2 linked regions of the Rattus norvegicus genome follow. The protein of the gene in region 1 purifies or fractionates together with the protein of each later gene. This does not show direct contact. Links are inferred from orthologs where the notes say so. Each region holds a gene or a part of one and is shown on either strand. Other genes may lie near its edges. The genes, in order: Baz1b and Smarca5.

Region 1 (15,254 bases):
GTAGAAAGGAGAGAACCTGGGAGCCCTGCTCCTAGCGTAATGAGGGAAGATGAAGAGCTAGCACGTGGGTAGTCGATTCTACAGAAAAAGCTTTCAGATTTTGTACCTTGGGAATGTCTGTAGAGGCGGCAAGCCTAAAATTGAAGCAGGAGACCAAGGAACGAGTTCTCTTCTTTCTCTGCTTTTTAAATTAATTCTGAAATATCTTGTATCATGCAAAGGAAATCTAGGTATGCTGGGGATTTGACTGCAAAAAAAACAGATAAAGTCCTGAGTGTCACTTCACTGCAAATCTAATAAGGAGGAAACAGTATCTTTTTTTTTTTTTTTAATTTATTTATTCATGTTTGTGAGTGCACTGTCACTCTCTTCAGACACACCGGAAGAGGGCATTGGATCCCATTACAAAGTGTTGTGAGCCACCATGTGGTTGCTGGGAATTGAACTCAGGACCTCTGGAAGAGTAGTCTGTGCTCTTGGCCATTGAGCCATCTCTCCAGCCCAACAGTATCTTGTAATCTCAGCACTTAGGAACCTGGGGCAGGAGGTTGTGAATTTGAGGCCACCCTGGGCTTCATAGAGACCCTATAGGGTGGGTGCTGGGGTTGACTGAGACTGAGGCACAGTGGCACGTGTCTGTAGTTGTCGTTCCTTAGAAGGCTGAAGCAGAGTGATTGCTTTGAGCCTAGTTGTTGAACAGACAAAACAAGACAACCACCTACCACCTGTTTGGGAAGCTCATATAACCTGGGTTGGTTTTGAAGTCTCCCTCTCCTCTCCTTCTCCTCTCCTCCCCCGTCCCCGCCCCCAAGTATATGTGTTTTGTGTGTCCGTATGTCTGAACTGTGTGCATTGGTGCCAGTGAAAGTCAGTAGAGGCATCAGATTCTATGGAACTAGAGTTATAAATGTTAGCTGTCATAGGTTCTGGGATTTAAGCCCTGATCCTCTGGAAGAGCAGCCAGTGCTCTTAACTCCTGAGCCCTGGCTTTGGACTCTTTGATGTAGCCTAGGACTACCATGAACTTTTAATTCTCCTGCTTCTACCTCTTAAGTTTCTGGAATTGTAGGCATGCAACATCTTGCCTTTTTATTTTCTTCTTGAAATAGAAATAAATTTTTAAATTGGTAAACATGGATTTGATTTTAATTTTTAATGTTTGTGTCTTCTTTGCTTGTGTGTGTCTGTGCAGCACATGTGTACAGGCCTGGTGTCCTCAGAGGCCCAGGCAATTGTGAGCCACCCTAAACAATAAAAACATAAATAGGTGATTTAGAAGAGTTATGAAGAGTCACTGATAACATTTTCTTATTGTTGGTTATGAGGTATCTAAATTGAAAAACTAAATGTAAGTGTACTTTTCTGGATAGATATAGTTTCTTCAGCCATGTGTGTATGTGTATATTCAAGAACAAAAGAAACTGTTTCAGATCAGATGCTAGGGTTAGTGAGGTGGTTTCTTTGTAGTTAGAAAGGGTCTTGTGGGCTTTAATAGGATATTTAGTACCACCTCTTCCTCTGGCCACTAGATGTCAGCAGGCATGTGCAAATGTCTCCAAACCCTGAACACGTCCAGTATGTACTGTCTGTCATTATACCTATAAAACAAAAGGTTGGGGACCATGTGAGACTCATATGATATTAACATCCACTGCTTTAAAACATACGGTTTTCTTTTTAAGCAAACATACTTTCTCAAGGTTTGGAATTTAATTTTTTTATGTAATATAACTATAGTTTGTAATGCTCTTATTAAATGAAATACTTGTAAATCTGGGAATAGTTATTTATATATTTCTTAAATCTTATTAATTAAAATTCGACAGTTTAGTAATTATAAATGTATTCTGTGTTTAATAGGCAGCATCTGTATATTGTTAGGCTGGGCATGGAGTCTGCTTAGGTTTTCTGAACAAGGAGTTGGTTTTTAATGTATTAAATCTAACATTTGCATTTCTCTTAGGTAAGAAAGCAAACCTAGGCAAAAACGCAAGTGTGAATGCACACCTTGGATCAGCACTAGAAGCTGTGGAGACCACTGTGCCCAAGCAAGGGCAGAACCTATGGTAAGAGCCCCGGTTGGCTTGCTCACTGTCACTCCTTCCCAGTGTTGAGGGAGAGCTATTTAACACAGTGATGTCAAAGACATTTCATGTCGCACATGTTCTGCATGTCAAAGCCTACTGTTGGGTGAGGGGTAGCTCCACTGGGAGAGCCCTTGCCTGATGTAAGTGAGCTCTGCGCTGCATCTCCAGCAGCTCTCAAGCAGTTTGTGGGAGTGAGTGCATTCCTGGAACCCAGCACTTGGAGATGGAAGCCGGACATATCAAGTCCAGGACCAGCCTGGGCCACATAATACCCTGTCTCAAAGGAAAGAAGGCCCAAAACCTCACTGTTACAAAACCACATGTGATCTTTGGGTAACCAGCTATTTCTCTCAAAGTTCAGATTTGGTTTCCCTTGCTTGTTCTACTTTGGTTTCTGTTGCTGTGATAAACAGACACTGTGGCCTAAAGCACTTTGAGAGGAAAACGGTCATTTTAGCTTATAGGTTCCCATCCATCCTCCAGGGGAGCCGGGGTAGGAAGGAGTTCATGGCAGGGGTCACCGAGGGATGCTGCTTCCTGGCTTGCTCCCAGGCTCACTCTCAGCTTGTCTTCTTTCCTTTGCTTAGGCATGGTACTTCCTGCCCACAGTGTGAAAGCAATCAAGAAATGCCCGCAGGCCTGTCTGATGAAAGCAGTTCCCCAAATTGAGGGCGCCTCTTAATAATAGTTGTATCCAATTGACAACCGAGGTTAGCCGTCAGACCTCTTTATAATATAATCTGGTATATTACGTGCTGGATTTACCCCCAATTCTTGAGACACATAGTATTACACTGTAGCTCAGGTTAGCCTGGAACTCACTGTGTAGCTCAGGCTGGCTTTGAGCTCACGCTAATCTTCCTGCTTTAGCTTCCCAATGTACTAGGATTACAGGCGTGCACCATACGTCTGCTGTGTAATGCATCTTATGTAGCACTGCCAAATGCTTCTGAATCAATTTGGGAATATGAAGACTTTTGAATTTGTTGATTATACTTTATAAAGTATGTCTAAAATAAAATTAAGGTAAATGTAATTATTAAGTAAATTTTACCCATGGAAAAAGATTAAAAATGACTTTTGGTTCCTGGGTATGTACAATTCTGCTTTTAGGCAAAGAGCTAGATTTTGTGAGGTCTTTACTACCTTTGATTATATAAAATATGTTTGGTGCAGTCACTTAGCTGTTTTTGTTTAAGGTATAATTTACTTTTTGACGTTGTTAGGACAGGTGTTCTGTTGTCTTTATACAGTCTATCATGAGCCATGTGATTGGCACACACACACTGTTAGTCCCAGAATAGAGGCTGAGGCAGGTGGATCTCTTGAGTTCAAGGACAGCCAGGGCTACACAGAGAGAAACCTTGTCTCAGAAAAAACAAACATGTTACTGTATAGTAGCAGAAGCCCTTCACTCTTCCATAACTTACAGTAAAGTTAATATCAGGTGTTCTAATGGAAAACATTAGACGGAAAACAGTTTGGAATTCTGCATTTCTCACTCACTGTCAGCCTGAGACTTCGTACACTGTTGGGTTTTCGTTGTATTTCCAACTTTAAGGTTTGTTTCTCCTCTTCAGGTTTCTGTGTGACAGTCAGAAGGAACTGGATGAGTTGCTCAATTGCCTGCATCCTCAGGGAATAAGGGAGAGTCAGCTGAAAGAGAGACTGGAGAAACGGTAAGTGCTTCTCAATGTCAGTGTCAGTGTGTGAGTCACGGTGTGCTTTTGAAGTGGGGTCTCTGTAGGTCAGTCTGGCCTCAAACTCACAAGAGATCTGCCTGCCTCTGCCTCCTAAGTGCTGGGATTAAAGAGTGCACCATGATACTCAGCAACAAGATGGGTTTGGTTTGGGCTTGTTGGCATGCTTGATTTCTGTGTGTGTGTTCTTTGATTTTTAATTCAGTAATATTATGTGTATGAGTGTGTTGTCTGTATGTATGTCTGTTCAATGTGTGTTTAGTGCTCTAGAAGGCCAGAAGAGCTGTGGGTATTCCTAGGATTGGAGCTGTAGATTGAAAGCCATTGTGTAGGTGCTTAAGCAATCAAAACCTCGGTCCTCGGGCTGGAGAGATGGCTCAGTGATTAAGAGCACTGACTGCTCTTCCAGAGGTCATGAGTTCAATTCCCAGCAACCACATGGTGGCTCACAACCATCTGTAATGAGATCCTGTGCCCTCTTCTGGTCTGCAGTCACATATGCAGGCAGAATGCTGTACATAAAAAATAAATAAATAAATAAATAAATAAATAAATAAATAAATAAAAACAAAAAAAAACCTCGGTCCTCTGAAAGAGCATCCAGTGCTCTTAACAGCTAAGTCGTCTCTCCAGCCTCAACCTGCATGCCTATTTGAAACAGGGTCTCCTTTCTGTATAGCACAAGATGACCTTCACCTTCTTACTCTCCTGCCTCTACCCTCTGTGTGCTGTGCAGGTCTCAAGGAGCTCTTGGCTAGAGCTGTGTACAGTCATACCTGACTTTTTGTTGATAATCTATTAACGTTACAAGATAAGTCTGTAACCTGTGATGTTCACATAGTTTGTAATCTTTTTGAGCATCATGTTTATTTGGGAAAATACTTTTAGGGTGGTATATATGATCCACGGGTAGCATCCTTGCTCTTTGACTAATGTGTGGCCTGAACCAAGCTGTGAGCCACTGTAGTTAAGCAGTGTTGCAAAAATGCATTCCTACCTGAATTAGTGTTCAAAACTGATCCGTCATCATTCATGGTAGACCAAAGATGGATGCCGTAACTGTCTACTGTAGAGAGACAGTGTGACGTCAGCTAGCACACCATTTACTCACTTACAAAGGGATGACAACTGGAGAGACGGCCACACACAGCACATGCAGACAAAAAACCTCATAAACATTTTTTTAAAAAAAAATTGTGAAGCCCTGGTTTGTGCTGCCACATGGGGTAAGTATCAAAACATTTGCTAATAAGCAAAGGAAGCCAGATATGAAAAGCCATGTATTGTATGATTCTGTATATGTGATGGGTCAGTATCCAATATAGAATAACACAGGAACAGAACCGGTTACTGGCTGCTGGGGGATGTAGAGAGCGTTTGCAAAAGTTTCTTTAGGGGCCCAGAGAGGTAGCTGAGTGATTAAGAGCACTGACTGCTCTTCCAAAGGTTCTGAGTTCAATTCCCAGTAACTATGTGGGGGCTCACAACCATCTGTAATGGATCTGATGCCCTGTTCTGGTGTGTCTGAAGACAGCTACAGTGTACTTATATACATAAAATAAATAGTTTTAAAGAAGTTTCTATAATTTCCTCCTTTCTCAATCTCAACTCCTGTAGGTACCAAGAAATTACACACTCCATTCATCTGGCTCGGAAGCCAAATTTGGGTCTAAAATCTTGTGACGGCAACCAGGAGCTCTTAAACTTCCTGAGGAGTGATCTCATCGAAGTGGCGACGAGGCTGCAGAAAGGAGGACTTGGCTACATGGAGGGAACATCCGAGTTTGAAGCCCGGGTAAGAGTGCAAGAAACCCCCTTGGGGAGCTGGGTTGCGTTCTGGTTAGGTTTGCTTTGGATGATACATGTGGAACCAAAATGTGTACATAAAGCTCTCTCGGTCATGGCTTTCGTTTGCTAAGTATTTATCAGGAAGTGGGCCAAAGCTAGTTCTTTCTCTTGCTGACATTGGATTGTTTTTCTTTCTGGCCTGATTTTTTTTCTCTTCAGGCAAGGTTTACTACATGGACCTTACAAAACTCATATGTAAGATCAAGCTAGCCTCACACACAAGTGATCTCTTGATTCTGCTTCCCTAGTGCAAGGAATAAAGGTGTACACCACCACACTTCTTTAAAAATTGGCATTCCTTATGTGACTGTCAAGATTGTAGTGCACAACGTTTAAAGCACAGTTTTGTGACCTGAAGGGCTGGCTCCATGACGAAGAGCACACAGCGCTCTGTGAAGCACCCAGCTGTACCTCCAGCACCAGACACGTTGGGGCACTGCACTCATGCACGCATATTCAGGCAGGCACATATGTGTGATGAGAAGTAAAATACATCTTTATTAAAAGTGTACGTCAAACATGGTTTTATAGCATGAGCTTGATCCCAGCACTGGGAAGGCAGAGTTAAGTGGGTCTTTATGATTTGGAGGCCATCCTGGTCTATATAGTGAGTTCCAAGCCAGCCAGTGTTGCCTAGTGAGACCCTGTATCAAAAATTGTTTTTAATTTTTTTTTCCTTTTCTTTTGAGACAAAGTATCACTGTGTAGCTTTGGCTGGTCAGGGACTCTGCTATGTTGAGCAGCCTTGCTCCACCTCAGGCCTACCTGCTTCTCAAGCACCGGAAGTAAAGACTTGGGCCACCACTCCCAGCTCCAGTTTATTTTTTTTTTTAAGATTTATTAATTTATTATGTATAAGTCCACTGTAGCTGTCTTCTGACACACCAGAAGAGGACATCGGACCTCTTTACAGATGGTTGTGAGCCACCATGTGGTTGCTGGGAATTGAACTCAGGACCTCTGGGAGAGCAGTCAGTGCTCTTAACCGCTGAGCCATCTCTCCAGCCCCTCCAGTTTATTTTTGGTGTGTGTGTGTGTGTGTGTGTGTGTGTGTGTGTGTGTGTGTGTGTGTGTGCGCGCGCGCACACACACACAGTTCTTGTCCTGGAAGCTGGAGGTGCTGGATCCCGTGGAGTTGGGTTAACTGGTGATTTTGAGTCTTCTGACGTGGGTGCTGGGAACTGAACTCTGGGTCTCTACAAGAGCTGTGCACACTCTTTAACTGCTCAGCCATCTCTGCAGCTTCACAAAGAATGTGCAAAGAAAGATAAGGATTTGGTGCCTGTCTCAACAGTCATAAAATTAACAAAGGTTTAGTGGAGGTGGGAAATGTAAAGCTTAGTGCTTGAGCCCAGCCAGGAAGTGGAGAGCTTGAGTCTTCTCAGATTGTCTTTGCTTTCTTGCCTGTGTTTTATTTCCGGTACTGGGGTTTAAAGGTATGGCCTCCCACATGCTTCACACAGCCTCTGTACCTCAACCCTCAAGTTTGTCCTGTACGCAGTGAGGAATAGTGAGTCCATACAGGAGCAGATGGAGTTTCAATCTTCTGGATCCTTTCTGGGGAAGTGCGAGTGTCAGGTGCTGGTAGATCCCAGTCTACCATGGAAGGCGTGCAGGACTCGCGGAACTGTTCTGGTACTTGGCTTGGGATGTTAGGAACTTACAGGCGGACTCTTTAATGGTCTCGTTCTCCTCTTGGTGTCAATTTAAAATCTTTCCCTAGGTCATCTCCTTAGAGAAACTGAAGGATTTTGGTGAATGCGTCATCGCCCTTCAAGCCAGTGTCATAAAGAAATTTCTGCAAGGTTTCATGGCTCCCAAACAGAAGAAACGGAAACTCCAAAGTGAAGACTCCACGAAGTCCGAGGAAGTAGATGAAGAGAAGAAAATGGTAGAGGAAGCAAAGGTATTGAGTTGCTGAGTCTAAGCACCGGGTTCTTGCTTTAGGGGACTTGTGTGAATGTAAGACGGAGAAGCAGAGAGCCGCCCGCTGACAGTAGTAGCCTCAGCTGTTTGTAGGGACAGCTGGTGTTGGACATACAGCAGGGTAGAAAGTACCCTGAGCGTGCTGTCCTGTGGCAGGCACAGCGTCACATGACAAGCATGACAGTGAGCTGAGTCCCAGTTCTTCCTTAACAGTGTGGCCAGCTTCTGCTGCGGCTCCATGCTCCTGCCTCAGCTTTACCAGAGAGGATTGTGCTTGTGTCAGCCAGCCATTGCTAGCTCAGAAAAGATGGACTTACATGGGGTTTCCACGAGTTTTCCTTTCACACCATCTTTGAACTCAACCCCTCCTAGCAGGCAAGTCTCTGAGTTCAAGGCTGAGACGCCAGGGCTATATAGAATCTCTGCCTCAAAAGGAAAAAAATTAAAGTCATTGTGAGTCCAGGCCATTTGTGCTGGTGGATAGGAGTGGCCCTTGAGCTAACTTATGAGTGCCAGGGTGTCAGAGCTTCCCAGCAGTAGTAGTAGTGGGCGGGGGCTGGGTTCTGAAGGAACCTAAGTGCAGATTAAAATGAAGTCTGTCTCACTGTGAGATAAATCTATCTAGTTCTCTTTTATTTTTGTTTTAAGCCAGTGGTCTCACTGTGCTGGCCTGGAACTCTATGTAAACCAGCCTGGTCTTAAATTCAGAGTTCTACCTGCCTCTGGGATTAAAGGTGTGTGCTACCATGCCTGGCCTTTGTTTCCTTTCTTTGTTTTGTTTTGTTTAGATCCAGGGTCTTAACATAGGCTTGAACCCGAGTCCTTTTACTCAACATCTCCCAAGTGGTAACAGGCGTGCAGCACCACAGGCAGAGACTTTTCAGAAGTCACTCTCAGGCGCTGCAGAGATGGCGGGGCAGTTACAGCCTTGGCTGTTCTTCCAGAGAACCTGGGTTCGATTTCCAACGCTCATGTGGCAGCTCACAACTGTCTTAACTCCAGTTCTAGCTGGTCCAACAAGCCGTTACGTGTGCCTATGTGATTACAAGCAGAAATGCTTAGGATTAAGTCCCTCCTCTTCCTAAAACACCTCGAGAGTTTGTACACAGTTAAGTTTCTCCTTCCTTTTCTTAGACCACAGTGGTATATGATTCAGGGTGATCATCTGGGGTGAGAGGCTGATTTACTTCACAATGGGACTTCACACCTAATCAGTATTTTACTAGCACGACTGTAAGAACTCTTCCTGGGTTTCTTTTAGTGGCCTTTAGCACCCAGATAGTATTCTAGGTGATCTCTGAGACAGCTTCAGCCTCGGGCTCGCGTGCTGAAGTTAGAGACCTAGATTAAATTTGCCCCAGTTTTGGTTTTAGTCGTATGTGTGTTGCACATATTTCTGTGCTACAGCAAGTGGAGGTCAGAGGACAGCCTGAGGAGTCGGTTGTTTGATCACCTAGGTCTTACTGTCGGATGGAGTTTTTTTTTTTTTTTTTTCTTTTCTTTTTTTTTTTTTTTTTTGGTTCTTTTTTTCCGGAGCTGGGGACCGAACCCAGGGCCTTGCGCTTCCTAGGTAAGCGCTCTACCACTGAGCTAAATCCCCAGCCCCAAGATGGATGGAGTTTTGATTGTTGGGCTTGGTGGCAGGTGGCTTTGCCCTGTGAGCCATGGTGCCCTTTAACCCAGCTTTGTAGGGACTTTTATTGGAAAGTTCTTGGAAAAATGTTTCCTTGCTATTTACTTTTCCTGTGAGATTTTCTTCTTACTGAGGACCAACAGGTAATTAAGTCCCATTAAGGTCCCTTTGTGTACTAAACCCTGAGCTGAAATAAATGTAAGCCCTAGACTGAGTGCAAAAGTGGAGAGCTTCTTGGAAAAATCAGTTAGGTTGCTTGCTGAGTGGTTCTGCTCTATTCTGTTCTAGCAATATCCTGCCCAGCAGCTCCCACCAAAGGTCAGCTTTGCCACAGCTCAAAATTTTCCACTGTCCTCTGCTTTGAAAGTTTCCACTTAGCAAGGGCCAGGGTTTCCTTGGCCGGGACCAGGCTGCTACATGAGTTTATGTCAGTCTCTCTTCTGGGCTCCAGTTTCTTTGGTTCTGTGAGATCGTCTCGCCGGTCCTTTTTGTAGTAATACATGATCTAGGGTCTGCAGTTTTTAAAAAGTTAAAAAGTAGCATTTATTTTCACCTACGTTGATATGTGTGTGCCAGCTTGTCTATGTGCACCGTGTGTATACAGTGCTCTCAAAAACCAGAAGGCGGCATCAGCTCCCCTGGAACTAGAGTTGTAGGCAATTCTCAGCTGCCTGATGTGAGCGCTGGGACCCGAACCATGGTTCTCTACAAGAGCAGCAAGTACTCCCAACCGTAAGCCACCTCTTCAGTCCTGATCTATGTAAATATAACAACAATTTTCTTCCTCTAAATTGAGAAAGATAATGCGTACTTAGGAAAATCCTGGGAGAAATCCTGCTCTCTTTCTATCTCTTCACTCCTTCTCTGCCTTGGTCTCCTTTAACATCGGGTCTTAACCATGTGGTCCAGGCTTGCCTCAAATCTAATTTTGTCTCAGCCTGTTGAGTGTGGAATAACAGATGTGCGTCACTATGTCTGGCGTTTTTTTGTCTGTATTTGTTCTGACAACCCTGTTGTCTGCCACTTTTTCATTTTGTTTTGTTTTTATGAGACAAAGTTTTACTGTCTCCCAAGTGCTGAAATTACAGATCTGAATTGCTGTGGGAGCCTCTGAGCACCGCAGACAGCATAGAATGGTCTGAAGGAGGCAAGAAGGCATGTTGAACATGACATCAGGACTCTGACCCCGGGCAACTTATTTTAGGCATTTTTAAGTACAGTACACTTTGGTGAAAACTTCCCTGTGTACAGTAAAGCACACAGAAAGCTAAAGATGGGAGGTGATTACATCAAAGTGGTGGGAAGTGCATTGACACCTTCCGTAAAGACGGATTGTATAGGCGACTGCTCTTGACAGCTTCCGTAGATGGCTTCTGTAGCTTGAAAAAAACAAACTTAGGTTAAGGGTTTAGGGGAGGATCTGGTGTGGCCTCCAGCCACTCAGATATCACAAAGGTCACCAGGCTAGAATGTATGTCTACTCCCAGCTTTCTAGGAGGATAACAGGTTATGCATCCCTTCCTCAAAGTAAAGCCCTGTATGCTTAGCATTCCAGGTTCCCTAGTGTTTATCCATGCGCACAGGACTTACGTGCCTTCTGAAAGCTTCCAGACCTGGCTCAACTTGCCTTTATTATTTTAGCTGTATAAATTTATAGTATGCATTATAACTCAGTGTATGTACATCTGTATAATATCAAGTCAGAGTAGCTAGTACTCCCCCTCTTTAAACACACTTCATTTAGTTACTTAAGTCATTCATTTGTTTGTCTATTTATGGCAGTTTCTTGGTGTGACCTTGGCTGTCCTGGAACTCACTCTGTAGACCAGGAGATCCTCCTGTCTCTGCGTCTTCTGTGTTAAGATTAAAAGCGTGCCTCACCACAACCTGACTAGATTTAGTTTATGCATAGAGTAAGGTTTGCCAGAGAGTGTGAGTGTGTGTGTGTGTGTGTGTGTGTGTGTGTGTGTGTGTGTGTGTGTGTGTGTGTGTGAAGAAGAGGGGGGATGTTGGATTCTCTGAAGTGGATTCTTGTAAACCACCATGTGGATACTGGGAACTAAACCCAGGTCCTCTACAAGAGCAGCCAGTGCTCTTCTTCTCCTAGCCATCTCTAGCCCCATTTGAATTGTCTAGAAGCTCATTAATACCTGGTAACTGCATATTTATGAGGTGCTGTGTAATATTTAAAGGTATGAATTTGCCTAGTGCATGTACACCCCATAGATGTTTCATGTGGCAGTCCCTTACAGTCCTTGGGACATGAGAACTTTCGCTTTGATTAAAGGCTGGTGACACACAGATGAGAGGAGCTTTATCTCAGGTTCACAGCTTTATAGATAAGACTCACCGTATCTGTGGCCTGAGTGGGTGACTCATTAGCCAAAGTTTTGTAGGGCGTACATTGATTGATCATGTGTGCTGGTGTTTATTCCTACGTCTAAATGATTTCACTGGAAGAGACATGTTGCTTCTCGACCCTACTGTATGCTTAGTTTTGGTGTGACCTCTGCCAAGCTTCTTTTTTATCCTTTGAAGCCTTGATGGGGGAGTATCATATAAGTGGGTGGCTTTAATGAAACTCTAGAATCCTCCGAATTCTGTCTTTACCCACTCAGACCCCTTTGTAATCTTTGAGGTCATGGTCATGCCATCAGGTTGTCTCCTTGCTGCTTAGGTTGCCTCTGCCTTGGAGAAATGGAAAACCGCCATCCGTGAAGCACAGACCTTCTCCAGAATGCACGTCCTCCTTGGGATGCTGGATGCGTGTATCAAGTGGGATATGTCTGCAGAAAACGCCAGATGCAAGGTTTGCCGGAAGAAAGGTACGCACTGAGGAGAGTTGATAGCTAAGTGTTCCACTCAAAGTTTTCTTTCTCTTTTGAAGGGATTTTGGTTTTTTGAAACAGGGTTTTTCTGTGTTGCCTTGGCTGTCCTAGAACTTGCTCTGTAGCCCAGACTGCCTGCCTGTCTCTCAAGTGCTGGGATTCAGGAGTGCACCACTACAGCCCACTCTCTGAAGGAATTTTTGTCTGTCATTTAGTCCTTCTGTGTGTATCTCTAACTGGGTAGGGCAGATTTCCCCTTTGCGATCTCCTGCTGGTGACCAGCATGTGCGAGCATCTGCGGTGTGTGAGCATCCACGGTGTGTGACTGGAGCAGCTGCCCAGTCTTCACTTTGTGCAGGAGCGAGTTAGTGGAGTAAAATCTGCAGTCCTCGGGCCTGTGAGCCGAGCTGAGGTCAGTGCTTCCAGCAGGGGGCAGTCTTTGCATATTGCGCACCCCGACCTCAGTCTTTAAAGCCTTGAGTCCAGGGCCACGCATTTGGAAATGTTTTTTACTTTTCCTTGACTAATTCTATGTCATGAATTAGCTTAGGGGTTCAGTTTCCAAAGGGTGAGGCACTGTGTAGACTTGATTGCTGTAAAACTGACTAGAGTGGCAGTCAGAGAAGGAAGTTAACCAGATCTGAGAACCCAGGCAGACATGTGGAAGAATTTGGGGGTCCAAGGAGAACAGCAGAGTCTCCAGCCATTGATTTTTTTTTTAATTATTTTAATTTTTTTGCTGCCTTTTAGTTAAAATACCCATACAATTAAACACGTTTTATTTACTTATTTACTTTTTTCTTTTTTTTTTTTTGGTTCTTTTTTTCGGAGCTGGGGACCAAACCCAGGACTTTGCGCTTGCTAGGCAAGCGCTCTACCACTGAGCTAAATCCCCAACCCCTACTTATTTACTTATTCTGAGATAGGGTCTCATGTAACTCTGGCGAGACAGAAACTCAAAAATACCTACCTCTTCTGCCGCCTCAGTGCTGGGATTAAAGGAGTGTGTCACGATGCCCAGGTAAACTTAGTGACTACTAACTGTCCTGCCCTGATTCTAGATAGTTCTGAGGAGATACATTAGGAACTCTCCCTAAATTGTCCAATTTTCAGAAAGTAAATGCATTTTTTAAAAATGCAGGCTGCAAAGATGACCCGGTAGGTAAGATGCCTGTGTGTAAGCATGGGGGCCAGAGCTCTGTGCTGCACCCACGTAAGTCCCCATCGGCCATGGCGGCCCTCCTGCCCAGGCTCTTAGGAGGTAGAGACAAGGGCTTTTACAGAACCAACCTTGAGCTCGGGATTCGAGAGAGAGGGGGCGGGGGGGGGGGGAGACTGACTGACTCAGTATATAAGGTGGACAGCCGTCAAATACGATAACTGATGTCAGCCTCTAGCCTCCATGTGCACACAGAAGCAGCTGAGTGATGGGTGTTCCTGTGATCCCATCACCTGGGAGGCAGGGCCAGGAGGAGCTCCCCCATTGTGGCTGAACGCTGAAACCTTATATTGAAAGAAAGAAAAAGGAGCTGGGGTGGTGGCCCAGCTCTCACAGGTGCTTGCTGCTTCTCCGGAGGACCCGTGTTGGGCAGTTCTTGTAACTCCAGCTCCAGGGGATCCTGTGCTCTCTATGGCTTCACAGATTCAAACACACATGGCATATGTTCCCACAGGCACTCATGGACATAAATTAAAATAAACCTTTAAAAAGGGAAGAGAGAAGTGCTGCCCCACGGCGTTTGTTCTGTTGTGCTGCCAACAGTGCTGTGTGTGTCTGTCTGCAGGTGAGGATGACAAGCTGATCCTGTGTGACGAGTGTAATAAAGCCTTCCACCTGTTCTGTCTGAGGCCGGCCCTCTATGAAGTACCAGATGGTGAGTGGCAGTGTCCAGCTTGCCAGCCTCCTACTGCCAGGCGCAACTCCCGTGGCAGGTGAGAAGTTTTGAAAGTAAGTGGGGGGCTGGGATCTGGTAGAATGTTCTCTTAGCATATACAAAGGCCTGGACTTCATCCCTAACTCTGCAGAAGTCAGGCATGGGGGTGCAACTCTGTTACCCAAACACTGGGAAGGTGGAGGCAGGAGGATCGGGAGTTCCGGGTCATCCCTGGCTACACAGCAGTACAAAGCCTTTCTGGGCCGTAAGAGACCATCAGATAAGTGCATGGGAAAATTCAGTTCCTCAGAACTGAGTGTTTCCAAGGAGCTTTAAGCTTACTTGGGTTCGAAGCTTGACCTTTTGTGGTGCGGATACAGGAGCTTAGATGCTATCCTATGACTTTGGTTTTGGGTGTGTGTATGTGTTTGGGTGTGGGGGGCGACAGCATTTAGTTTTACTTTTTAATGTGTATGAATGTTTTGTCTGAGAGTGTGTCTTAGCCATGGAGGTGAGAAGGGTGTATTTGTTCCCTTGGAACTCCAGTTGTGATGGTCACAGGCTATCATGTGGGTGATTGGAATTGAACCCTGGTTCTGAAAGAGCAACAAGGGCTCTTAACTGCCGAGCCACTTGGTTTCGTTTAGTGTTGACATTTCTGCTTTTCACTGTTAGCCCTGTCCCTTCCCTCAGTGTTTTGGTCTTTCAAGCGGGGTTTCTCTGTAGTCCTGGGTGTCTTTCAACTCAGATCTGCCTGCCCACACCTGCTCACAAGCTCCCCATTTAACTTTTTATTTTGTTTTAAATGTTGTGTGGGGGGGTTGGGGATTTAGCTCAGTGGTAGAGCGCTTGCCTAGGAAGCGCAAGGCCCTGGGTTCGGTCCCCAGCTCCGAAAAAAAAGAACCAAAAAAAAAAAAAAAAAATGTTGTGTGGACATTTACCTGAACGTGTATCTGTGCACTACATGTGTCCCTGGTGCCTATGGAGGCTAGAAGAGGGCGCCGGATCCTCTGGAACTCAAGTTACAGGTTGTTGTGAGCGTCTATGTAGGCGTCAGGAATTAAACCTAGGTCCACTGGAAGACCTGCCACTCTCTAACCCCTTGATTCACTTTATTCTCCGATAGCAAGAGCATCTTCCCCTTCCTTTAAATTTACTCATTGCCTACTTTACTGCCGCTTCTACAGGCGATCACCACTGAGTATCTGCAGCCAAACCACCGCCTTCGCTACCACGCTCCGTTTCCTTTCCTTGCTGTCTCTTTCAACATGGACTCCCCTGTACAGCCAAGCCAGCACCGTGAAGGCACCTAATGTCTTCCCAGTTAACTGTGGTTGCTTTGTACATTGACATTTGAG
Region 2 (15,254 bases), on another chromosome or scaffold:
ACTTCTATTTTTAAATATCCAGGTCTTAACAGACACATGCTCAGTTCAGCTTCCTTCACGCACAGCACCTCCCAATTTCCTCCCATCTTCCAAACTCAATTTTGTGACCTTGTTTATATAGTTTTCTTCAATCTTAAAATGCTTTTGATTATTTCTTCCAAAATGAGGGCACATCTAAGGATCAATATTAACTAACTCTGAATAATGAAAATTCAAATTGCTCTACTAGTTTCTGGACTGTTTGCATGTCCCTGACACCAGCAACCCTACATTAAGAAAACATCAGACCGTCATAGTACACACAGCAGTCTTTTTAGTGACTCGTGTACACACAAAAATTAAGTTTCAGAGAGAGATCTAAGAAAAACTGACTATCCTTATAGGGAAAGATTGAAGTTATAAACCTTTAAAGAATAAATGGGGAGGGGAGGATAAAGATATGGCTCCGTGGTTAAGAGCACTGACTGCTCTTCCAGAGGTCCTAGTTCAATTCCCAGCAACCACATAGGGGCTCACAACCATCTGTAATAAGATCTGATGCCCTCTTCTGGTGTGTCTGAAGACAGCGACAGTGTACTCACATATATAAAATAAATAAATCTTAAAAAAAAAAATTGGGGAAAAGTTCAAAGAAATGGAAAGAAAAGACCACTTTAAGGATTATAAAAGTTATATTTATTCACGATGCTACATTTATTGCATTCCCTTAGAAAAATGGAGAACTGCTTATGTACCCAATTTGCACATATAAAACTTTATACAAATGATGTGTAGCACATAAAGGCCTCTGGGTATTCCTGCTTCAAGGTCTCCAGTTCACCAGTCTATTCCATAGAAAATAAAAACTGGAATTATACTCCATCTTGCTACTAAGACTTAGAAGTTATTTGTAAAATATAATAAAATAAAATTTTCATTTACTCTAAAAACTCAAAAAATACTATAAACTGAGAGGGTACATTCTATTAGTATTATAACAGTATGACAAATTCTCACCTCATTTTGGCTTGGTCATTCAAATTAAAAAAAAAAATCACCTCACTTCTGACATTATCTTTCTAAGTTGTGGCTGCTGCAGGCCATTTGTCAAAATATTTTCCAAATACTTAAAAAAATTCCTTTTACAAAATAATACATTACCTTAAAGAACCAGAAAATACTAAATGTCTTTGGCTATACAACTAAAAAAGGCCATTCATCCAACAAAATAGGGCACATTCACATCAGAACCATAGAAACAGAAAGTGTAACAGAAATATGCACAGAAAATTAATATGTCTTGCCTTACCCCCATTCTATAATAAGCAAGAATGCAATTTACACAATCTTTCCAGATGAGACTCAATAGTACTACCAAAAAAAAAAAAAAAAAAAAAATCAGCAAAGAATGTGAAGTAATTACAAACCAGGTAGAAGGGACCAATCAAATGTTATTTGCATTTTTTTTTTTTACTTGTTTGCTTGTTTTTAAGCCATACAAGTGTTAAAGTAGCTGATAAAAAGCCACAATCCTCACAAATGAAACTATTAGAAAAATAAATCAAATGAAACATTTATTAATAAATGAAGCCTGTTTTATTACTTCAATTGTTAATGATAAAAAAAATTTCAGCACAGCTGTTGCATTTAAAAAAGGGAAACTACATACTATGTTTCTAGCTCAGTAAGCAGATGACCTCATGTCTCTGAATGACAGTAACAGTTGAGCACTGTACAGAACATCTTATGAAGACCCGTAAATTAAAGAACTACTAGTTAGTGATTATAAGACAAAACGCATTCATAGTTTCAGCTTCTTTTTTCTTCCTCGGCCATCAGGGGCACCATCCATCTTACGTTTCTGTGTCTATAAACAAACAGAACAATTAGTTCTCAAACATGATGCAGCATGGTAGCAGTGACTGCATATGACTGACAGCCTAAGACTCTTCTGCAGGGCTTCATAACAAATCTTTCAAAACTACTATCAAATCTCCAAATAATTTACTGCTGCTGACTAACAGGATGCCTATTTCCTCCTGAAATATTTACATTCAAACTAACACAGTACTAAACTTAGAATCAAACTTAGAATCAAACTAAACTTAAATCAAAGCTTAGAAGACGGGGGCTGGAGCGATGGCTCAGTGGTTAAGAGCACTGACTGCTCTTCCAGAGGTCCTGAGTTCAATTTCCAGCAACCACATGGTGGCTCACAACCATCTGTAATGGGATCTGATGTCCTCTTCTGGTGTGTTTGAAGACGGCTACAGTGTACTCATATATATAAAATAAATAAACCTTTAAAAAAAAAAAACTTAGAAGACTGCCATAGAACTTGTCAAGCCACCATGTTCAATATTCTAATACTCCTTAAAAGTCTCCTAAAATTTCAAGCATTCTCAAGAACAAGTGAGTACTTTTGGCAATCAGAAGAGTTTCTTTTAGCTCCTCAGAGTAACATGGTTTTCTATATTTAGTGTATCAAACCCAGTTTATATTTTAAGGCAACTCAAATGTATTATTTACAAAGGAAAAACAAAACAATGTTCAAATACTTTAAAAGTTGGTTGTGGTGGGTTTGCGGGACAAATGGCTGGTGGGTAAACTGCTTGTCATGCAAGTCTAAGGGCCTGAGCTCTGATCCCCAAATCCAGTAAAATCCTAAAACCCAATGATGGTGCATGGGTCTGGAAAAGAAGAGTTGCTTACAACAGCCTACCTAGCAAAATGGCAAGCTGCAAATTCAGTGTGACTCTTTAATCAAAAAATAAAGGGGCATCTGATTGTCAACCTCTGCGCCCCACACAGTGAGTATTACTACACATACATATATGGATAATACACACACACATGCACATACACACTACTGTGCATAAAACACCCAAAACTGTATGATTCACATAATCTGTACTCACGGAAGGCTTTGGTCCTCTTTTCTTTTTCTCTGCCTTCTCCTTTTCTTCTAGTTCCATATTTTCCCTTTCAATCAAAGTAATTAAGGTATTACACCTCCTCTGGAGCTCCTGCATTACAAATATATATATGATAAACTTGTTTTTTCCAAGTACATGCTGATAGGACTTCTCTATCTAAATATGTATTTTAACAAATACAAAAATCCCTTAAATATCCATAGTAGATTAAAAAACAAAAGGAAGTTCACTTTTTCTCACAGACCACACTATGAGGATTCAAAAACTCCAAGGATTTAATGTTTTTACTTCATTCTTTTTAAGCTGCACTAACACGGCTGGGGGTGTAGCTCTGTGGTAATATGCCAATAAGCAAACAAAAGTATAGTGTATATTCTTCACAAACTGTTCCTTCGTTTATCATGTAGGTACTAACACAACATCTCGTACATTTAATAACTATGCCAAGGAACTCTGGACTACTTATATTTAAAGATTAGCATACATAATTCAAAACCAAAACTAACCAGAACTTAAGAGATTAAAAAAAAATATTTTCTTTAAAAGCATCATCATCTTAGTTTATGGCCGTTATGCACATAGCTATAAAGCCCACTCCCATCCAAGCAGGAAGGCTAACACCCACGATGTATTTTATCTGCCTCCACTCTCTACAAATCTATGTGGCCGCCAGAAGAGATCTGAAGTGTAACGGAGAGTCAGCAGGTAACATGCAATGAGGTAAAGATCCATTTGCATCACTGCTTTGTTTATTTACAGGAAAAAAGTGTCTTTGTTTTTTTAATCTCTTATATGTAAGTAAAACTCCTACGCAAGCAGCCATAGTAAAATAATTCTAAACCACCTGATAGAAAAATCCATGCATGGCTTAGTAATGCTTACAATAAAAACCAAAGTTTTGTTTCCTTTCTAAAAAGTATAGTGCAAAGCCAGGTGGTAGAGCACACCTTTAATCCCAGCACTGAGGAGACAGAAGCAAACGACTCTATGAGTTTGAAGCCAGCCTGTCTATAGAGCAAGTTCCAGGACAGACAAGGCTACACAGAGAAATCTTGTCTCAAAAGGAAACAAAACAAAAGTATGGCACAGTACACACACGAAGGATGTGGTGCACAATGTCTTATCACGTTTACTGTAGCACACACTGCTGGCACAGTGAATCCTTTGCACTCCTGGTCAAAAACTATGCCTCTTATTTACCATAAAGACCTACATATGTTTATTTTGTATGCCTTAATATTAACATGCTAAGAAAGCAGTTTTCAGATCTGGCTTATGTGGTATGTGACACTATCTCACTAGCACTATTATGAAATAATTTCTTATATGTTATGCAAAAATAGTACCTTATATAAAAGAAACACAGTAAAGTTTATAGCAACTCAATCTTTCAACTAACCATATACTTATATATAAGTATCTTCAGGGCAGGTTCCATATGCTAGTTACATTTCTCTAAAGATGTCACAAAACTACAGTTCTACTACCAACTGAAAAGGAAAGCTATTTTTCAATGATCAAATGTGAAAATGCCACGGCATTGTACATTAACAAGATACTTCAAATGCATACACTTTCTTACTGCTGTATGTTTCAAACTCAAGACTTTTCAATTTTTGTTAAAGGTGTTGAAATACAGAAAGCAAGATACAATCCAAAGGTAAGCTTTCTTGAATTCTAATTTGATGATGTTAGAAATGGGCATCTCTTGTTAGAAACAGCCAGACATTAAAACTACAAACAAAACCCAGTCTCAAATCAGTATAGAAAATATTGTTCTATGCCAACCAGCCACTTTAAAGAACCCAGCTACAGCATCCCGCCTGACAGACAGATGCGGGAAGAACACTGCCATCTACACAACTGCCTACTTGCAAAAAAAAGTCACCATGTTCAGGTGAACACTTCTCCTCACTGAGAACCTAATTAGCCCTACTATATAAAGCCATGTTAAAACACACAACATTAAAGGAGACAAGCTCTTCAAATTGCCTCTAACGTTTTCACGCTGTGGCTGTGAACACTAGAGGAAATTAATTTCTGAAACTAAAGTCTCCTTCAAGGATGTTTTTAACAAGGTAACAAATAACTGAATAATATACTTATTCTGAACTGACACACTACACAAACCTTGGACACTCACCATCGCAGTTCTGGACTTGAGAAACCAATCAAATCTGAACTGAGGGGAGTTTCGGATGCATTGTCGTAACTCATCATAAACATTTTCCTTGTCGAAGCCAAGCTTGTGAAGCATACAAATGAGAAAGCGGTCCTCTTCTTCCGTGTAGTTTTTCCCTTTGTTAGTACCATACGATATTCTTAGTTGGTGAAAGGGTGCTTTGTACCGTCCAATCTAGAATTTATACACAGTGTATGAAATACAAGTCCTATGTAATCCATACTTCAAGCTTACTTCAGCCTTCCCATAACCAACCATAAATGTTCCATTTCAAATCAGAATTTTCTATCTCAAGACTCTGACCTGCTCTTTGTCCTGTAGTACTTTTATAGTTTTTCACCATTGTTGTGACTACAGAAATGAGGTCTAAGCTTTCTGACACTTAGGAAGAAGTGGAGTCTTCTTTAAACCAGGCTATCAATTTAGTACTCAGGGAAACTATGTTAACAAAAGTTAACAATTTTTTTTATTAAGGAAATTTTAAATTAGAAATCTTTTCTTATAATGTAGTTATCATATCAAAGTCTGGAGTTACACAGCCCCCGTATTTAATGCACACAGTACCTTTGTATCTAGTGCTTTCTTGATACTTATTCTTCTTTGAATCCTTGCCTCTCCCCTTTCAATCTGAGCCATAATCTTCTCTATGTCCTGGAGCTCATTGCATCTTTCCCAGAACACAGCTGGAAAAGAATAAATGGGTAAAAGGGGCGGGGGGGTTTATATATAAATAAAACAGGAAGCTTCCAGAAACCTTCTATTCAACTCTCGAAGAGTGACAATATAGTAAAGGTATTACCTGAGTACTCAATGACTTCTTCTGGAGTTTTCCCTTCTACTTCTCTGGCTATGTTCTCAATATCATCGCGACCCCACTTTTCATTAGCCTTGATAAACTGGTTAAAATCTCTCTTATTCCAATTAGTGAACCCCTAAACAGCAATAAGCAAAATATTTAATGACAGCACACAGAACTTAAGACAACAACGCTACTTTCAAACACATTTGATGTACAGAAAAAAAAATCCTTACTTTATCTTACCTTGGAGTTTTGGTTACATTTTCACGTACACACTTTTACCAATACATTATAAATTTCTTAGAAACCTTAACAACGAACTCTAAATGAAAGACAATCGGAATGCTGACTGAAAAGCTCAATGACCCTCTTCGTAGCTTTGATACACTATTAGTAGTTGGGAAATAAAAGTAACAGAAAAATGAACAAGTAGAAAAATGCAAGAAAAACAAGCTTAAAGGACAGAACACATATAAAGTAAGTGAGGAGATACTAGGGTGGTAATGATCAAATGGAAAAGGAGCAGAAGAAAGGAGAAAACAGGTGACAGGGTTAACCAAAACTAAAGATCTAAGAAGTCATATTGAAACCTACTATCTATATACTACCTACAGCCCATAAAAATGACTTTTAAAAGAGCCAGCGAGATGGTACAGCATGTACCTGTAGCCACGACTGTTAACTTGAGTTCAATCCCCAGAATCTACATGGTTAAAAAGTATTGACTCCCACAAGTATCCACACACAGGAACACAAGAGTATATAACTGTGTATTTTTTTTAACAGCATCCTGCATGGGTTGACTATGAAAGCTATGAGGATCAAACAAACCCGCATTGCCAGATGTAGGATACCTCCCTCATAAAAGTTCTTGATCAGGAAGGCCCCAGAAACCCTAAAACAACACAATCTATTGCCAGTGTTCCTGGCTGCCCATCAGAAATAGATGTTAAACCTTCCTGCTGGGGACAGCATACTATTTGGTTGCAGATAGAGGACTCAAGCTGAAACTCAACTGAACGCTTCCTTCCTGCTAGCTGGCATTTACACACACACACACACACACACACACACACACACACACACACACACACACACACACACCCCAATGCCAGAGAACAGAAGAACAAAGGCAACCAATGAGGAGGAGTGGGAGGGTGGAGTATGGGGACTAGGGATGAATGTACTCAACATCCAATGTATAGTTGGTGTCAAAATATTTCTCATGTAACAAAGTACCAAGTACAATGAACACGTAAAAATTTTTAAATGGTTTAAATTAAGTACCAAATAGAAATTTGTAATTTAGAATAACCTGGAAGAGACACAGAAAGCTGGCAGTACTGAAAATAAGTTCTAATACCCAGTACATACCGACAACCTCAACTAGAAATGCAAATCAAATCCAGCAGCATCTGTCCAAGCTTCCCCATGTTGAATTGTGCTCCCTTCCTTCTCTGCAGTGCTACAGATTGGACCTAGAATACCACACATGCTAGGAAGCATTCCAGTACGAGATCACACTGTCAGCCCAGTTGTTCTCTTTGAATACAGAAATGTGCATTTATGTTTGACTCAACAAACCTAAAGCTGTTTCTAGTACTTTACAAAATAACTTAATTTTGTGTTAATCAAGGTTATACCTGAGTCAGAAGCTTCTCTTTTTCCTCTAACTCCTCGTCATTAAGGGGCCCTGCTTCGTCGATTTTAAGCTGCTCTTCCTTCTGTGCCTGTGCTGCATTGGGTAGATCAGGACTCCGAGGTACCTAACACAGGTTTTTCAAAGCCATCAATTGGTTAATTTTAAGAGGCTTCATACATTCTTGACAAATTAACATTACACATTTTTAATATACCCATAAAATTAACCATATTGCTTAATTTCTAGTATATTACATCTTTAAAAAGTATTACTCATGAAATTTTCTCTTTAGTGAAAACTCAGAAAGTTCATATACTAGAGCACAGCAGGCAACAGCAGCATTTCCTACTAGGTTCAAGTTAGTTAAATAAAAAAGTCAGTAAGTAGCTTTGCCGTTGTGCTTCTGAGAAGAAAATGCAAAGAGAAGAATTTCAATCACCTTGTAACCGATAGTTTTCCTGTAATATAGAATTTCTTTTTCCAGTAATTCAAATAAACGTGGAGGAAAGAACTGGAAATCCTGAACATTTGGTTGTTTTGGAGGTCGAGGCGCCTAAAGAAAAGTAAAAACAGTATTGTCCGTTAAAAAACAAAAATACACAGAACTCTCACTCACATTAAGTCATTTCCTAAACCATAAAAGCCAATTCTCCAAGAAAGAAAACTCACCTTTAAATAGAAATGAACTGACATTAATCAACATTTAAACCAATTCAAAAATAGCAAACATAATTCTCAATTTTACTCTGCTGTGAAAGTGTTAGAGAATGTAGCATATTTAAGTGTGTCCATGCTGTCACCGTACCTTGGGTGCTTTAGGCTCACTGACACGCAGAGCTTCCCTGAAGTACGCATCTACAGCATAGTTGGCTTTTCTTTCTCTCTTAGGTGGTTCAATCCACTCTGTGAATGCAATCTAGGATGGGGAAAAGTTCCAATCAGTAATTTTATTATACAAAGCAATAAATTATCTACATTGACGTATAAATAAAAATATATTGATGAAATACTAAACTACAAACTCTACAATGGTAAGGACTATGGCATTTTTAATACTATGTCATTAACACACAAAGCAGAATTTATAAAATACTACAGAATATATGCTACAACCCAAGTAAGTAGAAAAATTAGACATAATTTTCTTTAAAAAAAAAAAACTGGGGTTGGGGATTTAGCTCAGTGGTAGAGTGCTTGCCTAGCAAGCGCAAGGCCCTGGGTTCGGTCCCCAGCTCCGAAAAACAAAAAACAAAAAAAAAAAAAAACAAAACCTATGGTCAGTATTTGTCTAAATGTTAAAAAAAAATGACAAGTATTTTTTTATACAGCATATGACAATTTCTCTCTGTAGTAGCAGATACATCTACTGAATCATTTTAATTATCAATTCAAGTTCTAAGAAAAATAGCCCATGGCCTTTTTATTGCCATTTAGTTTACTCTGAAATGTTCCAAAGGATACTCACACTATACAAGAATGCTTTCGGAGTGTAAAAAAAAAAAAAAAAAAAAAAAGAATGCTTTCAGAAATAGTACGCAATGAGCCTTATCATATAAATTAAAAATACTCCAAAACTAACTTAGGCACACATCTGTAATGGCAGCACTAAGGACAGACCCAGAGGCAGGGAATTAGAATTCAAGCCAGTCTCAGATAGAAATTGAGGAAGTCCACCCAGGGCTGTGTTAAGACCACCACCCCCGTAAGTAAATAAGCAAGGGAACAGATAACTCAGGGATTACATTCACAACACTGAACCATGAAAACCTAAGAAGTGAAGGAGCAACTAACACATGATTCAAGTGTTCAGTAAAGCTTCACTCTGAAGTAATTACCTTTTGTTTTTCTCTATAGTCTTCTCCTTCAAAGTTATAAACACTGGACTCTGTATCCATCGTAAAGTTTCTAAGTGAGCTTTCACCCATCTTGGAGAGCTTTTCATTCATTTCTGCAGTCTACATAGAAAAAAAAAAATTCTTAAATTGAGAGTAAAATAATCTTAAGACCTGTAGTCAAAACAGGACTGGAAAGATGGCTCAAAAGTTAAGAACATTTGTCGCTCTTCCAGACAATCTGGTTCAATTCGCAAGGGAGCTCACAACTGTATCTAACTCCAGTTCCAGGGGATTCAGTGCCTTCTTCTGGCCTCATTGGGCAACAGGCACACTCATGATGCACAGACAGGCACCCATACACAAAAATAAAAATAAAAAATAAAAAAAAATAAAAAGACTCCTTTATGGTATATGAAAGCTTGGTTTTTGTAGAAAAAAGAAGTTGATGATTCACAGAGAAAATATTTTCTCAAATAGTTTTTGTCTAAACTGTTAGGTCCGAAGGAAACTCCAAATTCCTCAAATTCAAAAGGCAGTGCAAATATGCAGAAACTGCATTAACCTGACTATAGGATTCTTGCAGCTGGATAAAGCCAGTATTCCTCAGAAACTTGTCAAGCCAGAAGTCCACCAAAGGGAGTCACTTCCCTAACCGCTGGCAGCCTCTCTAGTATTGGCACCTATCTGCACAGCAAAGCCCATGCTGGCCTCCAAGCTCCCCTATATCATAAAGACCTGTTACCATGACATCTTCACCCTTCTCCTCTCCTCCCATACCTAACTCCATGTAGCTCTTGGGCTTCCCCTGCTCATCCTTCCTATCTTACAGCCTGGCTATTTTCACTATTCTTCCCTTTGTCCTGCTGTTTTCACTATGCTTTCTCTACCCTCTGCTGCTTCCCCAGGCTGGCCACACATGCTGCTATCGTGATCAGTCTACTTTCTCTGCTCTGGACTCCTCCAGATGCTGCTGGCTGTTCTCAGTCTCTTATCTGCAGTAAAAAAATCATACACGCATTCATGTTTATGGAGAAGTCAGGTCATGGGTTTCTTCATAAACTATTGGTTACAAAACACTATCATATACTAGTGTCTCACCTTCTTTGCACCTCTTTCCAAAATACCATCAATATCCTCATCAGTGATTTCACTTTCTTTTGAAGCAAACACATGTGTGGCACCATGTCGAATCATTTGAAGCATTTCATCTTTCCCAATTTTGTTCAGGTTCTGATCTACAAGCCTCCCTGGGGAAAAAAAAGAGAGAGAGAGAGAGAGAGATTGTGTTGTATTATATTAAGACTTTATTTTACTATAAACTTAAAAAATTAAATATTAGAAATTTTATCCATTTGTTTACTATTTACAAATGATCAAATTCACTACTATGTTAAATTTAATGCCGTATTTTTCAACTGTCTAAGTTGTTAAGTATTTCTAAAGCTTACATATTATATATTACCTACTGTAATAAGCTTTATTGACTCAATAAAATGTTTTTTGTTTGAGATATTTGAAAATCAAGTTGCTGAGTACAGTGACATACACATTTAATCTCAGTTCTCAGGAGACAGAAGCAGGTATTTCTGTGAGTTCAAGGCCAGACCAAAGTATATAGTGAGTTACAGGACAGCCAGAGCTATACAATGAGACCATCTCAAAAACAAACAAAAACAAAAAAGAAAAGAAAATCAAGGGGCTGGGGATTTAGCTCAGTGGTAGAGCGCTTACCTAGGAAGCGCAAGGCCCTGGGTTCGGTCCCCAGCTCCGAAAAAAAGAACCAAAAAAAAAAAAAAAAAAAGAAAAAGAAAAAGAAAATCAAAGCTGAGAGAAAATGTCACAAATTCTGACATATATATGTAAACCATATAAACATAAAGGCATTTCCCATCAGAAGGATGTTATTGTTCATCTTAACCAATCGGCGTCTGCTAAGAACACTAAAACAAAAGTCTTCATATATTAGATCTTTAATTAAATCAGGTGCTTTAATCCCAATTCTGAAAAGCAGAGGCAGCAAACCTCCGAGTTCAGGGCCAGCCCAGTCCACTTAGCAAATTCTACATCAGCTGAAACCATTTCAATTAATCAATCAATTAATTAACTGATTAATTTTTTAAAAATAACAAAATTAAATATCTAATATGAAAAACTCAAAAGCTTTTGAAAATTTAGTTTAAACACAGAAAGGAACTTGACATAATAAATTAAGACCTTCAACTGGTAGGAAGTTAGCCAATCTAATTTTTTTTCACAACTACAATAAACAAAGTGTGTCTTCCTAACAGCTGATCTGGTACAAGTTCCCTTCAATTGAACCAAATAAAATACCACTCCTCTTTAGTCCTACAGCTTCAGTGCAGTCCCCCTCCTCCTAAATTCTAAAGTTCCTTGAAAACAGTAACACTGGGGTCTACTTGTTGCTTTAGTCTCTACTGCAAGAACAGTGCCAGCGCCTGACAGTCACCTAGTAAATAGTTCCACACAGGAAACACATATTTTTGTTCAGTATCCCTGGTGCTAATAAATCACCACAGCTCAACTTAATATATGCTATACTGAATGTCATGTATTTTATATAGTATCCCATTAATTCCTAAAAACTATCACTTTTTATTCTACTTAAGTGAAGTTTGAAGTTCAGGTTAGAAGAAAACCTGCTAGCTAGTAAATACTAAAATCAACTTATCCAAGCTCAAAACTCATTACATTAATGACAAAATTAAAAAGTTTAAAATATCTGGAATATATATATCTTCTTTCTTGACTGTTAGCTGGACTCCAGGTGCTTAAAATCTCCCCTAGAGCATCAGACTGAAACATGCTGCTGTCAATTCAACTTAGAAGTTATCTCAACTAGGAAGCGCAAGGCCCTGAGTTCGGTCCCCAGCTCTGAAAAAAAGAACCAAAAAAAAAAAAAAAAAAAAAGAAGTTATCTCAAGTTCTAGGTCTCACCTTGTTGAATTACGATGGAATCCAGTCTGAGCTTCATCTCGGCACGTTCTACTATTCTTTCTTCCACAGTGTTATCAGTTATAAAGCGGAACACTCGAACAGTCTTCGTTTGTCCAATTCTATGTGCTCGGTCCTAGCAGAATTAAATTACCATGTCATTTTACAGGTACACTGAGAAGCAAAATTAAAATACTCATTAAATATAACACCTATAATATGGATTCATATTACATAAATACTTCTTAAATTCCCAGATTTAATCAAATTAAATACAAGGAAAGCTTCCTAAAGAAAATTATAGTTGTTCAACAAAGCCAACCACATGAGTAAAAAAATATGATACCATCTAACAGACAAAATTGTAATATATCAGTTTGATAATCATTTCTTTCACTTGAATTTAGTTTCAAAATCTTTTTATCCATCAAATTAATGAAATGTCACTTATTAGGAAAATTAAAAACGTGAAAAGTGTTCTTCACAAATGATATAAAAATCATATTTAAATATTACTCAACTAGCTAAATACACTCAATCAAATTAATTTGAATGTTAGTTCTATTTATTTTTTGGTAAACCATGTTCCTCCAACAAAACACCTTATTTTTGGAGCTGATCAGATCAGTTCGTGGTTAAAGAGCACTGACTGCTCTTCCAAAGGTCCTGCGTTCAGTTCCCAGCAACCACATGGTGGTTCATGACCATCTATTAGAAGATTAGATTCCCTCTTCTGGCAGGTGGGTATACATGCATAAACTCATACATTAATTTAAAAAAAAAAAAACACCCTATTTCTAATAATTTATCAATTTCTATTATTTCTATTAACTATCCTCACAAAGAGTTTAAGAAAAAGTTACTCGTGCAGATAATTCAAAATTGCACTTACAAACTCAATATTCTAAGACAACAGTCAGAATTTGTACAATCCACATTAGTTTATAGATCCTGAATTTTCTCAGCCTTAAAATTAACTTCCTCAGATGGCCAGACAACTCACAAAATAAACATATATTTTAGGCATCCGAAGGGCAGATCAACTACCAGCCCACAAACCGATTTCCCTTTTCTCTAAAGCACAACTATACTCATTTACTGACATTCGCATTCACCAGAGTATTGAAAGTATTTTTTTTGCTGACCTATTAGGTGAAAAGAAATAAAATTCTATTAAGTGACAGTGAGTGTTCAACTTGAAATGGGACATCTTCACCAGCCTCCCACCACACTCAAGGGTTCTCTAACCCATCAAAAGGTGAAAGAAAAGGTGGGAGAAGGAATCTAAGAGCCAGAGGCCGGAGAAGAATGCTATCACCCTATTGCAGGCATCACCCACAGCACAGCTGTGGCTCCCTGCACAAAATCAAGCGTCAAAACTCCAGCTGTTGAGACCCACTTCCCTAGCCAAGAACTACTGGCAGGTAACTGCTACTGGGGCAGGGAGAATCTTGGGGATATAATTGGGAAAATTGCTCTTGCTCCAGTAGAAGGCCCCATATATAGGTGCAATAATTGGAATCACTGGATTCAGAGAGAGAGAGAAAGTGAGTGAGTGAGTGTTGAGAAGGGAGAGATATATTAGGACAAATCTAACCAGGGACAATGGGAGGTATACATCACCAAAGTAAAAGATATAGATGTTAAGATATTATCAAAAATAGTTTAAAATTATATATATATATATATATATATATATATATATATGTATGTATGTAAAAACAAAGAAAATTGTAGGCTGAGGAGATAATTAAGTGGGTAAAGAACTTGTTGTCCAAGCCTGGTGACCTGAGTTCAATTCCTAAAAATCAGATGATGGAAAAAAAACACACTCCCCTAAGTTGTCATCTGACCTCTACTTACACACCAGGTAGAAATGTGTTGACACAATTTCTAAACAACTAAATTTTTTAAAATTAAAAGAAAGTTCTAGTAGGTAAAATCAGGATTATAAAATGAACGTACCCTGCCTAAGACACCTATTAAGCACACACAGTATTTACTTGTTACCTCTTACCATAGCCTGAAGATCAACTTGAGGATTCCAATCTGAATCATATAAAATTACTACATCAGCAGTTGCAAGGTTGATGCCCAGACCACCAGCACGTGTGCTTAGCATAAATACAAACTTGGTGCTATTTGGTTCATTGTATGCATTAATGGAGTCCTATGGGAATAAAATAGTAAGTGTTAGGAACTTGTTATATTTGCTGTGGAATAGGATTTTTTCTTTTATTTTTTTTAAGATATGATCTCACTACGTAGCCGTAGCTGAACTGAAATTCACTATGTAGACCTCCTTCTGACTCCTGAGTACTGGGTTTAAAGATAATCTCCACCATATCTAACACGGGTAGGATTATTTTTCACATTGCCCACGCCGGCTCAAGTACCTGCTCCTCCTGCAGTTCCAAACAGCTGTGGCTACAGGATTTTTTTTTTTTAAAGATTTATTTATTTTATGTATATGAGTACACTGCAGCTGTCTTCAGACACACCAGAAGAGGGCATGGATCCCATTACAGATGGTTGTGAGCCACCATGTGGTTGCTGGGACTTGAACTCAGGACCTCTGGAAGAGCAGTCAGTGCTCTTAACCACTGAGCCGTCTCTCCAGCCCCCATGGCTACAGGTTTATACCACCTTGACTAGCTCAGGAAGTTACCTTACCTAGAGCCCGGTTTTCGGACCAGCCTGGAAATATGAATCCCTATCTAAAGCGATGGATCGGTAGGCAAGAGCACTGGCTGCTCTTCCAGCACCCATCTCCATCTGTTACTCCAGACCCCAGGGTTCCAATTACTACTTCTGGCCTCCTAGGGCACCAGGCACATACAGGGTACAGACATGCAGGCAAAAGATCACACTAATTTTAAAAGAAAAATACATTAATTTTTTCTTAAAAAAATTAAATACTCTGATGCAA

What was found.
Region 2: the proteins of Baz1b (region 1) and Smarca5 purify together in Homo sapiens (affinity purification with western blotting; 11 studies listed by BioGRID and IntAct, with this or other methods). This does not show direct contact. The link is inferred for Rattus norvegicus from reciprocal best matches to the Homo sapiens genes BAZ1B and SMARCA5.

Annotation. Positions count from the first base shown.
Region 1 is NC_086030.1:27,074,959-27,090,212, reverse strand, and holds part of Baz1b (tyrosine-protein kinase BAZ1B), read left to right. Parts: intron 1-1,963; coding exon 1,964-2,066; intron 2,067-3,667; coding exon 3,668-3,766; intron 3,767-5,404; coding exon 5,405-5,582; intron 5,583-7,358; coding exon 7,359-7,541; intron 7,542-11,871; coding exon 11,872-12,019; intron 12,020-13,806; coding exon 13,807-13,954; intron 13,955-15,254. UniProt on the Homo sapiens protein: Atypical tyrosine-protein kinase that plays a central role in chromatin remodeling and acts as a transcription regulator. Involved in DNA damage response by phosphorylating 'Tyr-142' of histone H2AX (H2AXY142ph).
Region 2 is NC_086037.1:44,194,359-44,209,612, reverse strand, and holds the end of Smarca5 (SWI/SNF-related matrix-associated actin-dependent regulator of chromatin subfamily A member 5), read right to left. Parts: intron 14,496-15,254; coding exon 14,343-14,495; intron 12,500-14,342; coding exon of another isoform or gene 12,476-12,499; exon of another isoform or gene 12,462-12,475; coding exon 12,329-12,461; intron 10,621-12,328; coding exon 10,472-10,620; intron 9,494-10,471; coding exon 9,374-9,493; intron 8,455-9,373; coding exon 8,344-8,454; intron 8,092-8,343; coding exon 7,978-8,091; intron 7,663-7,977; coding exon 7,540-7,662; intron 6,030-7,539; coding exon 5,897-6,029; intron 5,781-5,896; coding exon 5,662-5,780; intron 5,272-5,661; coding exon 5,059-5,271; intron 3,006-5,058; coding exon 2,898-3,005; coding exon of another isoform or gene 2,769-2,897; exon of another isoform or gene 1,847-2,768; coding exon 1,781-1,846; 3' UTR 646-1,780; downstream 1-645. UniProt on the Homo sapiens protein: ATPase that possesses intrinsic ATP-dependent nucleosome-remodeling activity.